Struthio camelus: one gene and its partner. The protein of the gene in region 2 interacts with the protein of the main gene of each other region in a biochemical or structural test. Links are inferred from orthologs where the notes say so. Each region holds a gene or a part of one and is shown on either strand. Other genes may lie near its edges.

Evidence for each region. The genes of interacting proteins can lie anywhere in the genome.
Region 1: the proteins of TXNIP (region 2) and SLC2A1 form a complex in vitro, tested with the Homo sapiens proteins (2 studies listed by BioGRID). The link is inferred for Struthio camelus from reciprocal best matches to the Homo sapiens genes TXNIP and SLC2A1.

The regions. Positions count from the first base shown.
Region 1 is NC_090962.1:8,721,795-8,728,723, forward strand, and holds the start of SLC2A1 (solute carrier family 2, facilitated glucose transporter member 1), read right to left. Parts: upstream 3,016-6,929; 5' UTR 3,001-3,015; coding exon 2,827-3,000; intron 1,108-2,826; coding exon 1,015-1,107; intron 1-1,014. UniProt on the Homo sapiens protein: Facilitative glucose transporter, which is responsible for constitutive or basal glucose uptake. Has a very broad substrate specificity; can transport a wide range of aldoses including both pentoses and hexoses.
Region 2 is NC_090971.1:3,047,458-3,055,427, forward strand, and holds the start of TXNIP (thioredoxin-interacting protein), read left to right. Parts: upstream 1-4,969; 5' UTR 4,970-5,226; coding exon 5,227-5,476; intron 5,477-6,544; coding exon 6,545-6,617; intron 6,618-6,733; coding exon 6,734-6,881; intron 6,882-7,256; coding exon 7,257-7,359; intron 7,360-7,545; coding exon 7,546-7,802; intron 7,803-7,909; coding exon 7,910-7,970. UniProt on the Homo sapiens protein: May act as an oxidative stress mediator by inhibiting thioredoxin activity or by limiting its bioavailability.

The DNA of each region.
Region 1 (6,929 bases), on a different chromosome or scaffold from region 2:
TGCTGAGTCAAGGATGACTGAGCTCACCAAACATCCTGGCACAGCTGCAAAAGGGCAGCACAGGAGGGTGTGAGCAGGAAGACAGACAGGTAATCTTCCATCCGCAGCTCAAACTCAAGCTGATGCCACCTGCACCCTGCAGATCACAGGGGCAGAAAGCAGGTGGAAACGCTCATCAGACAGAGGGTTTGGTGTGCCCCACTTCCTTTGAGGTGGGACAAACCGAGGCTAACCGACAAACCAACCTAACTCATCAGCATTTCAGAGCCTCCTGAGTGTTGCTTCCATCAGGGCAATAATTATCTGCCCTTCCCTAAGGCAGCCCACCAGGACTGTTATCTACATCTCCGAGGCCACGTCGGTAAGCACTCCCAGGCCTGCTCACCCTGCAAAGCCACACCAGAGAAAATGCAGCAGTTCCCACAGTGTGCCCTAGTGCGTTAGGGCTCCTGCTCTCACCTTCATGTGGGAAAACAACCAGCTCTTTTCGCTGCCCATTTGAGAGGTCACCGCCCCCAAGATGACTAAGAGCCTAATTGGCTTTGAGATCTTTGCTAAGGCCGAGGTTAAAAGCTACCCAGCTCCCACCCAAAGAGCCTTGGCTTCTCGAGCATACATATTTGTTCCCAGAATTCTTTAGTAAAATGCTAAGCAAAGAGGAAACTAATTCCCCTGGGAACACAAGAGCTAAATAACTCCTTAACAAATCCCATTAGAGACAGTAAGCTGCCTAACAGGATGTACTATTTTAGCCAGGCTCATAGTGGATGCGAGAGGTGGGAAGTAGGTGTGTTTGTTTTCAAGCGTGGGGTCATGTTGAAAGAGGTATGTTTTGCTACAGCAATGCCGTTCCATATTGCGCATGTTGCCACATTCAGGCTAACACATGCTGTGTTGTGTCCATGCCCAAGGCTCTAACTGCATCATGCCTGCTGCTGTGACAATGGGTGTGTGATTGCACAGGTGGCCCTGGAGAATGGCAGGGCACCGTGGGCAATCCCGTTTAGCTCTCACCTTCTGTGGGGCATTGATGACACCGGTGTTATAGCCGAACTGCAGGGAACCCAGCACCGCTCCTCCCACTGCCAGCATCAGGCGAGCCGTCATCTGCAGGAAGGAGGGGGGAAAAAAAAAAAGAGAAAAGAGAAAAGGGTTAGGTTTGAGGGCCTGGCTGTCCCCCCTCTGCCCCAGCCTTCACCTCACTCCTGGCCAAGACCAGTTTAGGAGCCTGTACTCTGCCATATATAGGCTTCCCCGGTCCTTTCACCGGCCCTGTCCAGACAGGGCACCAGTTCCTCTCCCAGGGAGGCACCGTGCAAATGGCCTGCGCAGACCAGGGCAAAAAGGCCTTCCTGTCCCTGAGGCAGAGCTCCCCATATCTCCCCTCATTAATCAGAACTTCCTTGAGGTTGGAACATCTCCCATCATCTCAGTCCCACCAAAACTAGGCTTTGAAGCTCAGAGTCAGGGTGGCCATCTGACTTTGCAGCCCGGCTTCCTCCAAAGGAAGCTGGACAGGTCCCTGCCTGGCTTTGACAGCCTGTTCCCCACCTTGCAGGCCCAGGACCCCTTCTAAGTACAGGACAGAACCAGCACAAGCCACAGGAAGCCATGGTATTACATACTGTACAGGCCAAAGCAACTCAATATCTACCTCCAACACCCCAGTCTCTGCTGCTCAGACCTTCTCCTTTGCAGAGGAATTCTCTATGGCAGGATTATGCTTCCTGTGCTTCTCCCCAAGGGAGCAGAAGGGAGGAGGCATTTTCATAGCCTCACTAGCTTCAAATGCTCAGTGCCTTGCCCCCCTACAAACCACCTTCACCTTCCTTCCCTCAAACGTGCCAGTTCTCATCTACTAGCCCTGTGCTGTGCTACCCAGTAAAACAATTTTGCATTTCAGAAGGAAGTCAGGTGCACTCACAGGTTCTGTACCAAGTTCTGTGACACCTGGATTTTCTCCTTTGACCTCACACCTAGGCAGGCAGCCACGAGAGGCCACTCTTCGTGGGCCCATTTCACCACTGCACAAAGCACCCTGAGCAACCTGAACAAACTTTGAAGTTGATCCTGTTTTGAGCAAGGAATAGGTCCAAATGATAACCAGATGACCCTTCCAAACTAAATTAGAAATACTCTCAGACCTATGGTTTAGTTGCACACTTTGTTCTAGAATACAAGTGGCTGTGATCTATAAAGTCACGTTGGGAAAAGCAGCTTCACAGAAAAAAAGAGAGGGTGTCCTTTCTAAAGGAAAGCACCTAGGCACACAACCCCCTCCAAGTCCAAGTCATCTGGAATTAGCTCCAAGGAGCTCTGGGCTGCCTGCTGACTCAGGAAGATGGGAGACATTTCTTAACAAAATTGTGCCAGCACCTGGGAGCCCAGTCAGAGCAGGGCCTGGCTGCACTGCAAGCTAGACAAGCACGAATAGGCAGAATAGCAGGATAAGAGACAACTCACTTTCATGATTTTTTTTCCCCCCCTCTAAATATACACACACAGACTAAAACAAACTGTTTTGGGATTCCAGGAATTTTCTGCCTCCAGACTCAGGCCCGAGGTCTTATCTGGACCTGCAGCAGCCCATCTGACAACCCCGAGTCACCCCACGTGCCGTGTTCCCCCACGTGACGTGCAGGCAGACCCAGGATATCAGGGAGACTGTATGCAAGAGATAGCCACGTAGACAAAAGAGCCAGCAATATCCCCAGCTCGCCCTGCCAGCCCCATCACCCCACTGTACTTGGGCCCCGTTTGATTTGGCCCTTTGATGCACAGCACCCAGCTCTCGGGGCCGTTTTCAGGGCTGTCACGTGGTTCTACCTTCTTGATTTCTCTCCAGAGTCCCCAGGCACGGTGGAGGCTCTGTGCTCCTGCCGGGCCACATTGTAAGGCTCTTCTGCCCAGGCACTTGTTGGCCTCCTTGACCTTGGACTTTGGATGGAAAATACTCCGTTTTTTGACCAAGGAGAGAGGAAAGGTGTTCTTCAGGAACATTAGGATAGCTGGGCCCCACTGTGACACTGAACCCCCCCCCCCCCCGGTTAAACCCCAGGAAAGACCAGCTGAGCACTGAACATCAGCTCAGGGTCAGCGCAGACCAGGGTGCCCACGCTTAGCTGCACTGGCCATCATCAAGGTGGAGATGCCCCAGACAGCATGGTTCAGTCATCGCTAACAAAGGTTTGCATCAGAGCCTAATTCACAGTTACTAAGCAAAAACCTCCGCGTTTATACAACGCCTCAGTGCCTCTGGCTATTTGGCAAGCCCTCGCCCACCTCCTCTTTCTCCTGCTTAAGCTAAAGCAACAATCAGAGGCTTGTTTCAGAGTAAGGTCAGGGCAGGCCAGCACTTGGGACACCTTCATCAATGGCCCAATTATCCCAGGCAGGAGATTTTCCCGTTACTCAGCCTAGCCATGGTGCCCTGAGAACTAGGATTCGATGTTCCCAAGTTTGGTTAATCAGCTTTGGGATATTCACGTGAAATCAAAGCCCCTTCTTTGAGGGCTCGGTGCTCGCTCTCGGAAGCGACGTTTGCTTCACTGGGAAGGCAGATCTCGCTGAAGCGGCGGAAGCACTTTGCCAAACCCCAGACAGTGTTTCCTTGTTAGGGAGAGCCAAAGCCTTCGCTGGGGCCCTGGGCACCTGATTTGGTGCAAGGGCCCTGCTCTCTCCCCCCTGCCCTGCTCAGGGCCAGAAGTCTGGCTGCACCAACTCTCCCATTTGGGGAACAGCCATTCCTTGCTACAACAAGGCTGCCAGGAAGGACCAGCAAGCCACGTGCTGCAGAGACTTACTTCTCCTTTTACTTTGGCCGCTGCACTTCTCTCGTAGGTTATCTCAAAGTGCTGTGCGCGGAGCAAACCACCACTTCCTGCTTGCCGATACAACAAGCATCTCCTCTGCTGTCCTGGAACAACCCTGGCAGTCCTTTACTCACATTCACGTTAATTCTGTGAGTCTATGACTTCCTCAATGAGCTGCACGTCTCTTCCCATTCACATCCCAGCCCTGTCTGCCCACAGTTGCCTTCCCTGCTGTTCTTGCCTCACTTTTTCTCTGCCTCCTTGCTTGGAAACACCTTTCTTCCCTTGCTGTGGCCCCCTCATTTCCTTCACTCTGATTTCCTACAGAGGGGACAAATCCATGTTTTACCTACTAGATGCCAAATCCAGATCTCTGGGTTTCATTGGCTTTGAAACCTCATCCATGATGCCCCGTAAGACTCATGTTACCCAGCAACATTTATCTTGATGCCTCAGTGAGGTCGGTCTCCCTCCCACAGCATACAAGCAGCACTGGAGCAGGAGAGACTATCTGCTGGCATCCCCCATACTGCAATGGGAGCCCAGCACATCCCACGTCTCAACGGCCTTCAGCAAGCAGAAGGACTCGCAGGTCTCACCTTCCAAGCAAAGGGACACACTATACTTCTTTGGCAACCGCACTACATGAAATGCATGCATAAGATACTTCCCCAATTCTTTCTGTGGTTGGATATTTCTCTCTCTGGCATCTACCCCTGCTGCCTTTCCCAGTCACGTGCGGCAGCACCCAAATGCACAAGAGAAAGGGTTGACCACAGAGGCACCAGCAGGGTGAAACTCTCCAGTACGGGTTATGTAGGAGGTGAAGTGCCTGTTCGCAGAGCCTCCAAGCTGTTAGATCCGAGCCTTTGGAAGGGAAACAGACTGGGCTGAGTGAAGCTCAAAGCTGGACAAATGGCACAGTTAGTGGGAAGTACACTGAAGGCCAATTCCTAAAATACATGGAGGTGGCCTAGCAGTCATCCTGACCCTAGAGAGGGGAGAAGCCTCCAGCTTCCTCAGCGCAGTCAGCCCTGAACAGTTGCCCCATGGCCACCAGCCCATCCGGGCATACACGTGGCCACATTAGCGCTGCTCAGCAGCAAGTCCAGCCCTAGCTGTCCAGCTCAAGTTCCTGGCAGTAGGAATTTCTCTGCTGGATTAGAGCGTGGAAAACTTGATCCCAATGCAGCCACTCTTGCGATAAGGGCTCTCCAGATCTTACAACAACATACGAGGTACATATTTCACTGGTAACAGGGTCAGAGCCAGCTGATCCAGGCAATGCCTACCCCAGCCCTTCTCAAGAAGGGAGAGATCAGCTCCCATCGTGGCTCCACCAGGTCACATCACAGGCAGGTAAGCCGTGATGTGCTGCTCCCTGAAACAGTTACCACTTTAAGGACACGGATGCCACGTAACCCGAGTGCTGCTACCTTCGCAGCTGCCTCCCTCCCGGCAAGCCTCCCAGCCACCCGCGCTGGCTGCGTTCGCTCCCTGACGTAGCGGGGAGGCCATTTTAAAGGAGGAGTCGAGACTTAATGCCCCCAACCCTCTTCATCCACCATCACCCCAATCCTGAAACGCAGCGGATACCACCTGAGCGATCCACGCACCACCCACCCCGATGCCTCTCAGCACACTAACACTGCTACCAGCTGCTGGGCAGGAATCGGTCCTGGGTGAGGAGTCGAGCCCAGCTCCAGGCAATCCAAAACACTCACCCAAACCCCTTAGCCCTAAGCCAGAGTTACAGGGCTTAGTGTTTCCTGATGCCAGCTTCAGGCCCCTTGGAGGCAACCAGCTAAAAGGAAACACCAAACACAGGCACTCGAGGGCAATTTCAGCTGAGCCGAATCCAGCCCAACCAGCCAAATCTAGCCCGTTGCAGAGAAGGCTGCATCTGGCTCCCAGCCCCTTTTATGGGGCTTTCACAGGGCTCCATAAGCTCCCTGCCACCCTGTGACATTAAAGGCTGACAGTACAGTCTGCGTGCAGCTGGGCCCTACTATTGTTTTTGGATGGCAACTGGCACACCCAAATACTTCTCGCCAGAGCATGCCATCCCTCCTGCAAAACAAACCCGGTGAACAGGGGTAAGATTTCAGATAAGAAATTCAGCTGTAGTTTAGCAACTAAATGCATATCAATCCTTCAAGCAGGATTGAACTCCTCAGGGGCAGTGAGGACCACACTGCTGTTTTCACTATGCCTCCAACAGTTCCCTAACAGTTATTTTTATAGCTAGATCACCAAAAACTGGACTAAAAAGAGCAAAGTGTGAGGAAACCACAGACATGGAGCCTCTCTAGCTATGCCAAATCCCACTTTGTTTCCCAGGCATCTTAAGACAAGTATTTCAGAAGCCTGGTGTCAGGCCCACCTAGACTCAGCACTCCTTAAATTGTGAAGGCTGACTGCAGGGTAAGATGAAGAGGCAACACATCCTCACCCCCAGCCAAGAGCTGACAGATTCTACAAGGGATATATTCTTAAATATGAAACATTCACCAGCAATAACTTGCTTGCTGAACTCAATTCTCCTGCCAAGCCACCCGCCTCTGTATTAACAGGGAACTATGAAGTTCACAGGGAAGGGCAGCAACAGGACCCTGAACTGCCTCAGGAAATAAGGCCAACCCTGTTAATTAAGGACATTAATTAGGACTGGCCTGAGCACAACAATTCCATTTCACAAGAAATCGGGGTGGTTTTGGCACTTGCTTTTGTTGAGCGCATCTGACAAACGTGAGGCCCTTGAAAAGAAAATGCCCACTTGAGAGCAAGCAACCAGCTTGGAGCCACCGGAACAGGCTGCGGGAATTTGAACTTGGGTCTCCCACATCCCACAAACCCATCAAGCTGTTAGCGAGGCCACCGTGCACCCAGCCAGCTTCTGTTCTCATGGCGACACTGCCTTCTCCCTACCCCTAGCCAAAATCCTTTTCACCATTTAAAGTTTCAGCCCTCCTGATGAAGATCAGCACTGCAGCTCCACAGCCCAGGCCTGCAACGCAGAGTAAGAGCAGGCCGAGACATTTTGCCAGGGTTTCAGAAAAGCAAGTGGCAGGCAGCACAGCCTAAAACCCTACTTCCAAGGCCCCTGATCCATGAGAC
Region 2 (7,970 bases):
AGATCAATGAGGGTGCAGGCAGTATGGGAAGGGACTTCCTAGCTCCCGGTTTTAGCCGCCTCACCTGGGTATCTAGATTAGGGACCTTGTTTGGGGTCAGCCTCTCCAGGGGAGATGCCCTTGTACCCCGCAACTGATGGACTCTGAGCCCATTGGCACTGGCTGGAGGCAAGGACAAGGCTGACCATTGCGCTGGGCCCAGGGAAAGCTGCGTGTGGGTTTGCCTTGGCTACTGAAGAGCAAGAAATCTTCCTTCTTCCTTTGCCCCTTCCAGCATCCGTGGGCCCCTGCTGCGGTCTTTCAAGGGACAGCTGGAGGGAGTGGGGAACGAAGGTCAGGAAATCTTTGGCTATAAAATACTGTTTCCTCTGTTAATAACATCTGACCAACACCAAAAGACAAAGAGGACCAGGTGGATCAGTTTTGCACAGTGACAAGTTGGAGACTTTTTCTTAAAAGAGGGCATAGGGCGAGGGAGCAGAGCGCGGCCACGCAGCCACTGCCGAACACCAGAAGAGGACAGGCTCTCCCAGCCTGAGCAAGGAGGCAGCTGGTGCGACTGAGTCTTACTGCCCAGAGCACGTGAAAGACATGGGACTTCCCAGAGTCGGCACTCAAATTCCTCCTTGTTTGTGGACGGCTGAATTCGGTCTCAGGCACAGGCTGCTGACGCTCGGCTCTGGCTTTCTCCTCCTTATTGCAAAATCGCAGTCTGGCAAGAGTAACAGTGAAGACATCCCACCGCAGCAAAAAAAAAAAAAAAACATCCGCTGAAAAGAATTTTTTTCACATCGCACTCCTGGCAAGAGCTGGAAACCTGGGACCCTGAGGAAAGTCCTCACACCGGATCCCTGAGGGGCCTTCTCCCCATTTAGCTGGGAAGGGGAAGGAGAAAAGGGGATCTCAAGCTGTGACACATATGCCATAAGGCATTTCAACACGGTACATAGCCTACACAGCACCAGGAATTACTGCCAGTGGTGACACAAGCCATTGCTGTTGCCCATGGACAAACCCAGCAAAAAGTTGCTTTGGGAAACCTGCGATGGGGATCTGCCCTGTGTGACCTGAGAGCTTTCAAGATCATTTCATGTAGGTCCCTGCAGAGCTGTTTTACAGTACCCCAGCAGGGTTGTGCCGCCGTGTCTCAAAATTAGGCACTGCAAGCCTTAATGGCTTCATCAAAACTTTCATTTTATTCAGAAACTCAAAGTGAATCGCTCCCCTCGCTTCCCTGCTTCCGTGTTTCTGCCAAATTTCAAGCTTGGACCACTGCAGGCAGCCCTTTACGCTGTCAAAGTAGTACTGAAGTCAGCCACAGTCAAACTTGAGCAGCGAGAAGATAAGGGTGGGATAGAGGTGGCTTTCCAGGAGTCACAGGAGTCCCTTGGTCCCTTGTTTTCCAGCTGCAGGGACACACACCCAGCACAATCAGCGTGGGATTGTCAAGTGCTGCTCGCTGTACATACATAGGCCAATTCTCCATCCCAAGCCTCAGCTAATCCCTTCCCACCCTGGCCAAAGGAAATGCCTTTTCCGCCCCAGCTCTCGTTCCCGTTCGCACGACAGGCACACTCTGTCCCTTTGCTCCGGCCATTGGGAATCCCTTCACGTCCCTCTCTTCCCCTCCCCGCCTCGAATTTGCTGGAAGCAACCATATATGGTGAAAAATGGAGAAAACGGCACCAGGAAGCTACTGGAAGCTCTGCACAAGGCAGCAGCCTCTGGGCAGCCAGGCAGCAAACTCTCGCAGTGCTTTTCAGAGGCGGGAGCCAGTTATCTAGGCTGAGATGATAGACGGGGCAAAGGATGGCTGGCGACAAGAGGAGCGTGATTGCTCCAGGCAACAGCAGCCAGGGACTCCTGGTAACCAAGACCAGGAAATAAAGGCTTTTATGAGTGCTCTTGTGCATCAGGGTTGTGTTACAGGCACGATTCAGATCGATCATGGGCAGGGGGGCAGTTTTCAGCAAAAACCTTACGTTGCTGGTATGGAGCGTGATTTGTGCTGCCCAGTTTCTGCCTCACCTAATCGCTTCCCCATGACCCACTCAACAGCCCCTGCTGTCAGTGAGTCATCTCAGGGCATGGTTTCTAACTCGGCCCTTCCCTGCTCTTCAGGGTTGGGTTATCCCCGACACATCCAGTTAGTCATGCAACTCTCCCTTCCGTCACTAGCCCATGGCCAGCGAGGAGAAGGCTCTGGGCCGCTCTCCCCATCCGCCTGGATGGCACTGGCCCCAGGGCTGACTTTTCCCCTTCCTTGTGTCCACCACCAAGGCTGGAGGGATCCTCCAAGCAACATGTTGCCAGGGGAAAACAAGCTGAGGGGGGGACCGAGGCCTTAAAAAAATTGCTTAGGAGAAGGGAGGAAGCGCCCAAGAGCTGGTCTCTGCCCAAAACCATAACCGGCTTCTCTTTGATATCATTCTTTTTAAAGAGACGTGACATTTTGAAGCTTTTGTTTTACAGGCTAAAATTCCTCTGCGTTTCCAAGTCCCTTGCTTAATCCAGGGTGCTGCTTGCGTGGGAAACCTTGTGAACCGAGTCTCATCCTGAGGAAGTTGCAGCTGCTCCTCCTTCAGTGGAGAGACCACAGAGGCCTTTCCAGTCAGATGGAGGTCAGGGGAGCAAAGGGCAGAAGCTGATGGACAGATAAAAAGAAACTTGGAGAGGATCCAGGCTTTGAAACGTGCCTTGGACCATATCTCTGGCAAGCCGAGGACTTCATCGCCCTTTGACATCGCTGGAATGCATTTGACAGTTGGGGAGAAAGCCACCATGGGCTGGAAGAGCCAGGTTGGAGACCTCTTTCTTGGGAGACCTGCACCGAGGGAAACCAGAGACGGGGAGCGCAAACACGGATCCCAAAGGAACGCAAGGGTGCGAGCGGGCCAAGAACCAAATTGAGGTCTTTGGGATCGCGTATCCCATAGCTGGCAAGGCTGCAAAGAGAGCTCGGCTCGTTTCGCCAAATTAGAGCAAATCCGTAATTCTTGTGAGCCCGGGGACCTTCTCCCTAGCAAGGGACAACGGGGAGAGCTTGTCAGGACCAGACCTGCAGCAGGAAAAGGCGCACGTCCTCCATTGCGCACCTCACTGCAAAAGAGTTCTCTAGCAGCGAGGAAATTTGTCCTGCAGTTTGGCAGGCGATCAGCTTACACCCCGCAAGTTTATCTGACCATTTTTATCAGTTTATGCTAACAGGTGTGAATTAACTTTGAGGGACGGAGAGGAGGGCAAAGAAATAAAAGCACGGCGCGCGGCAGAAAGGCACGGACAAACAAGCGCCATATCAGAGGGCAAAGGACAACCGAGACAACACCGAACAAAAACACATCCCTTTCCTCGGCGGGGGGGAAGGAAGGTCTTTAGAGTCCCCCCCCACCCCACACACACACCCTGTTTCCACTCCTGCCTTTTTATGGCTCATTTAGTGGCTCCAGAAATATTACCCTCCCGTTTCCTCCCCTCTCCATGCCTGCTTTCCTGAACTGCGAAAGCATTAATCGCTCTTAAAACCCATGACAAAACAGCCTGTCGGGGAGGAACGTGTGTGCTCAGCACGACCACGCACAAATTACAATTCAAGGGTTTCTCCCAGTTAAAAGCCCCACGGGGCAGCGACACGGGTGATACGGTGTCACCCGCTCCCCAAATCCCTGCCGGGGGTATGGGGGCAAGGAGCGGGGGGTCTGCCCTTGACACGGCTCGAAACATCCCGAAGCGGAGTGGGGGGGGGGGACACGAAAGAGGGTGTAAGATGTCCCCTTTTGGCAGATGACGGTCCGATGAGTAATTCTGCTAAAACTCCTGGTGGGGAGGGGGACGTGGCTGCCCCGGGGGGGTGTCACTGGGGGTTTGGGGGGTGGGGGCCACCCTGGAGGGATGGAGATGGACTGAGAGGTGTCCCCCCCCCCACAGGGTGAGGCTTTCTCTTCTCTACCCCAATCCTGCCCTAATTCGCCCCAAATTACAGTGGGGGGAAGCAGAAGGGGGGCTGTGGAAACGCCACAGCTCACTGGGGGTTTGGGGGGGGGGGTCACAGACAGCAGCGGGGGTGGGGGCCACCCTGGAGGGATGGGGACAGACTGAGAGGTTCCTCCCCCCCCCCCCCAGGGTGAGGCTTTCTCTTCCCTTCCCCAATCCTGCCCTTATTCGCCCCAAATTACGGTGGGGGGAAGCAGAAGGGGGGCTGTGGAAACGCTGCAACTCACCGGGGCTTTGGGGGGGTGGGGGCCACCCTGGAGGGATGGGGACGGACTGAGAGGTTCCCCCCCCCACAGGGAGAGGCTTTCTCTTCCTTACCCCAATCCTGCCCTTATTCGCCCCAAATTACGGTGGGGGGAAGCAGAGGGGGGCTGTGGAAACGCCGCAACTGCCTGACGGGGGGGGGGTGTGGAAATGCCCCCAAACAGAGCTGGGGGGGGGGAAACACCCTCAGTGGGGTGAGGGGAGCCCCAGAGCCCTGTGAGGACCGCCCCAGTTCAACCAGTACCAGAGAGCCCGTCACAGTACGGCTCGTCCTGGCCGCTGCCCCCGAGCCCGCGCATCATGAGGGGGGGCTCAACCCCCCCCCCTCCCGCCCTGCCGTCCCCACAAGGAACATTACATCCTGTTCCCCGCTCACCACTGGCTCCCGCCTCCCCCGTCCTCGCTCGCCATTGGCCAGCCGCGCCGTCACTCCGTCCCCTCTCCCACTCTTGCACCCTTCCATTCTCCCGCCCTCCTGCCTGCTTCTCCGCCGCACACGCTCTCCTCTCCTTCACAAGCTGTCCACGCTCCGCACCCGGCGCGCCGATTGGCCGGCGGGGGTGTAAACAACGCGGCGGCGACCAATGGGAGCGCTGATCACGCGAGCAGCACGCTTGGCCATGCGCCCTCGGCGTGGCGCTCTTGTCATCAACAAGTGCGGGAGGGGGGAGGGCGGGGAGGCGGAGGCTATAAAAGGCCGCGTCCGGCGGGGGCCGGGCTCACACCGTTGAGGGCCGAGAGCGGAGCGGCGGGCTGCAGCAGGCGGAGGCAGCGCATCCCTTCTGCCCCACAGCTGCTAGGGAGGAAAAGGTTGACCTTTAGACTAAATTCTGACTAAAAATCAACCTTCCCGAGGTATTTTTTCCCCTCGGTTGTTGCCGTTGAGGGGGGGAAAAAAAAGCACAAAAACTGCCCAGCGTGCGCAGCTCCTTGCCTCGTCCTCAAGAGCGTCTCCCACCCTTCACCTCAGCCATGGTGATGTTCAAGAAAGTCAAGACCTTCCTCGTGGCTTTCAGCGAGCCTGAGAAGGTCTACTGCAGTGGGGAGAAGGTGGCAGGGCGCGTGGTGGTGGAGGTGGCTGAGGTCACCCGCGTCAGCGCCGTCAAAGTGCTGGCCTGCGGCGTGGCCAAAGTCAACTGGGCCAAGGGCCCCCAGCAGTGCAAGCAGGAGATGGAGTACCTGCGCTTCGAGGACGTGCTCACCCTGGAGGAGCAGCCCACTGGTGAGGACCTGGGGCTGGGAAAGGAGGGGTTGGGGGCAAAAGGTGGTGGGGAGCGGGCGGGGAGTGGGTTGGAAGTAATCACCAGCTTTGCCTGCTGGTTGTTGCCCTTCCGCAAGGGGCTGGGTTGAGTCTCCTGGTTGTGCCCGCATTGACGGGGCTAAAGCAGAAATGCTACTTTGAAGAGTTGGCATATTTGGCTGGTGAAAGGAAAAGGGAATTTAATGTTGGCCAAGTGAACTGGTTGAACCCTTGGAAACGGATGAAGGGCAAAACAGGACTCAGCTAGGCTGCAGGTTAGAGTTGGAAAACTTAGGGCTGCTGTGCTCTATCCGGAGCCCGAAACAAAAGTGAGATGGGGTGCTTGTCGGAGCGTACAAAAGACGTTAGGCATTGATGCGGCTGGCTTGGCTTGCCCAACAGGCAGTGATGCTCTGTGCCTGCAGGGAACGAGTACTGAGATTGGCTTTGGCCGGATGTCACTGTGGCAGGAGGTGCCTCTGAGTTCAGTACAGTGGCTGGTACAGTGCACGGGACAGGTGGTCAGAGAGCGGCAAGTCCAGATCTTGTCTGAGCCAAAGAGTCTCAGTCCCTTCCCTGCCTTTATCGCCCTCCCTGTTTGGCTGGCTCTGGGGAAGGCAGAGATAAGCACTTGGCAGGGTGTCTTGGAAGATAAGTGGGGAGACGTGAAATCCTCAAGGTAAACAGATAGTTGGGGAAAGAAGTTAGTACTTTGTACTCCCAGAAAGTGGAAGTAGGATGCGGTAACCAGAGGTAACAGGGTCTGAACTAAAGCCAATCAGGACTTTGTGCCCTGGTTTCAAATGAGGATGTTGAAAGAAGAAGTGAAAGTGTAGTTTAGCAGTACTTCCCTGCCCTGCGAGGACACCAGGTTCTCAGCCTGTTCTTAGGGAACAGGTGTGGGTGGCGCTTACCAAAGAACTAATAGAGCTCTTAATGCCTGCAACACCCGGACTTCATCATAGCCTGTGTAAGCAGAACAGTGGATAATGCTTAGAGCAATACTGCTGGACTTTACCTAATATCTCTCTTCTCCTTTTCTTTTCTCAGATGGGGATGGCTCTGTAATCCTGAGACCTGGAAACAAATATGAATACAAATTTGGATTCGAGCTTCCCCAAGGGTAGGTATTAGACCAGCATTGTCTGAACAAAGTAAAAAAAAAAAGCCTAACCTTAAATTCCTATGGAAAACTGTCTTGTTAGCTCCAATGTGTCTAACAAGTGTGTCTTTTCATAGGCCTCTGGGTACCACCTTCAAGGGAAAGTATGGCTGCGTGGATTATTGGGTGAAGGCTTTCTTGGAGCGCCCATCCTTTCCCACTCAGGAGATAAAGCAGCGCTTTGAGGTTATGGATCCTGTTGATGTGAACACTCCAGAATTACTGGTAAGTGCCAGTTTGTTTTGCCACCTCTGAGAGGTTTGGGTGTCAGTTAGCATTAAGGGATACAAAGGTCCTTAGGTAGGGTCAGTCTGACCTCTGTGGTTAAGACTCCCCCTAATAGGCTTTACTCTTCAGCACAGATTAAATACTTAGTTCTGAAGAACTCTCTAGAAGGCTACACTGAGGCAGGTAGAAGTGAGGCACTGGTTCTGCATTCAGTTAACTGAAAGACACTCAGTCCTCATGGGGAGTGGCAGCGTGAATTTGAGGAAGCTTGAATCACAAAACAGGAGAAGGTGAAGCTCAGGGCTGGAGAGGAGGAATGGGTTGGGAACACCGGGCAGGTTTCATCTGGGTAACGATCTTATTTCTTTTCAGTCTCCAGTTGCTGCCAAGAAGGAGAAGAAGGTGTCCTGTATGTTCATTCCTGATGGCCACGTGTCAGTCAGCGCCCAAATTGACAGAAAGGGATTTTGTGAAGGTAAGAGCCTGTCTCCCCCCCTTAGAAAAGGGAAGGAGCGGGAGCAAAGGGTGAAGGGACAAGCAGTACCTGAGCAAAGGGGCAGTAGTCAGGGGATGTTTAACTAGAAGATCAGTGAAAAACAACAAATACACTTCAAGGAAAAAGTTCTGACCTTCCTAATGCAGAACATCATTCCCTCCTCAGGTGATGAGATCTGCATCAATGCAGACTTTGAGAACACTTGCTCCCGGATTGTGGTGCCCAAAGCAGCCATCATTGCCAAGCACACCTACCTGGCCAATGGGCAGACCAAGGTGTTCACCCAGAAACTCACCTGTGTCCGAGGCAACCACATCATCTCAGGCATGTCCGAGTCCTGGCGAGGCAAAACCATCCGTGTCAAGAAGCTCAAGCCGTCTATCTTGGGCTGCAACATCTTGCGCGTGGAGTATTTCCTGCAGGTGAGTGTCTCTGATGGCTGCTATTGCTCCTCTCATGGTTAGTGGGTAAGCTTTGTCTACGGTTGGTTTCTGTCGTTGCTAACGGCATTCTGGTCTGTACCTTGCAGATCTATGTCAGTGTCCCAGGCTCCAAGAAGATCATCCTGGAACTGCCCCTTGTCATTGGCA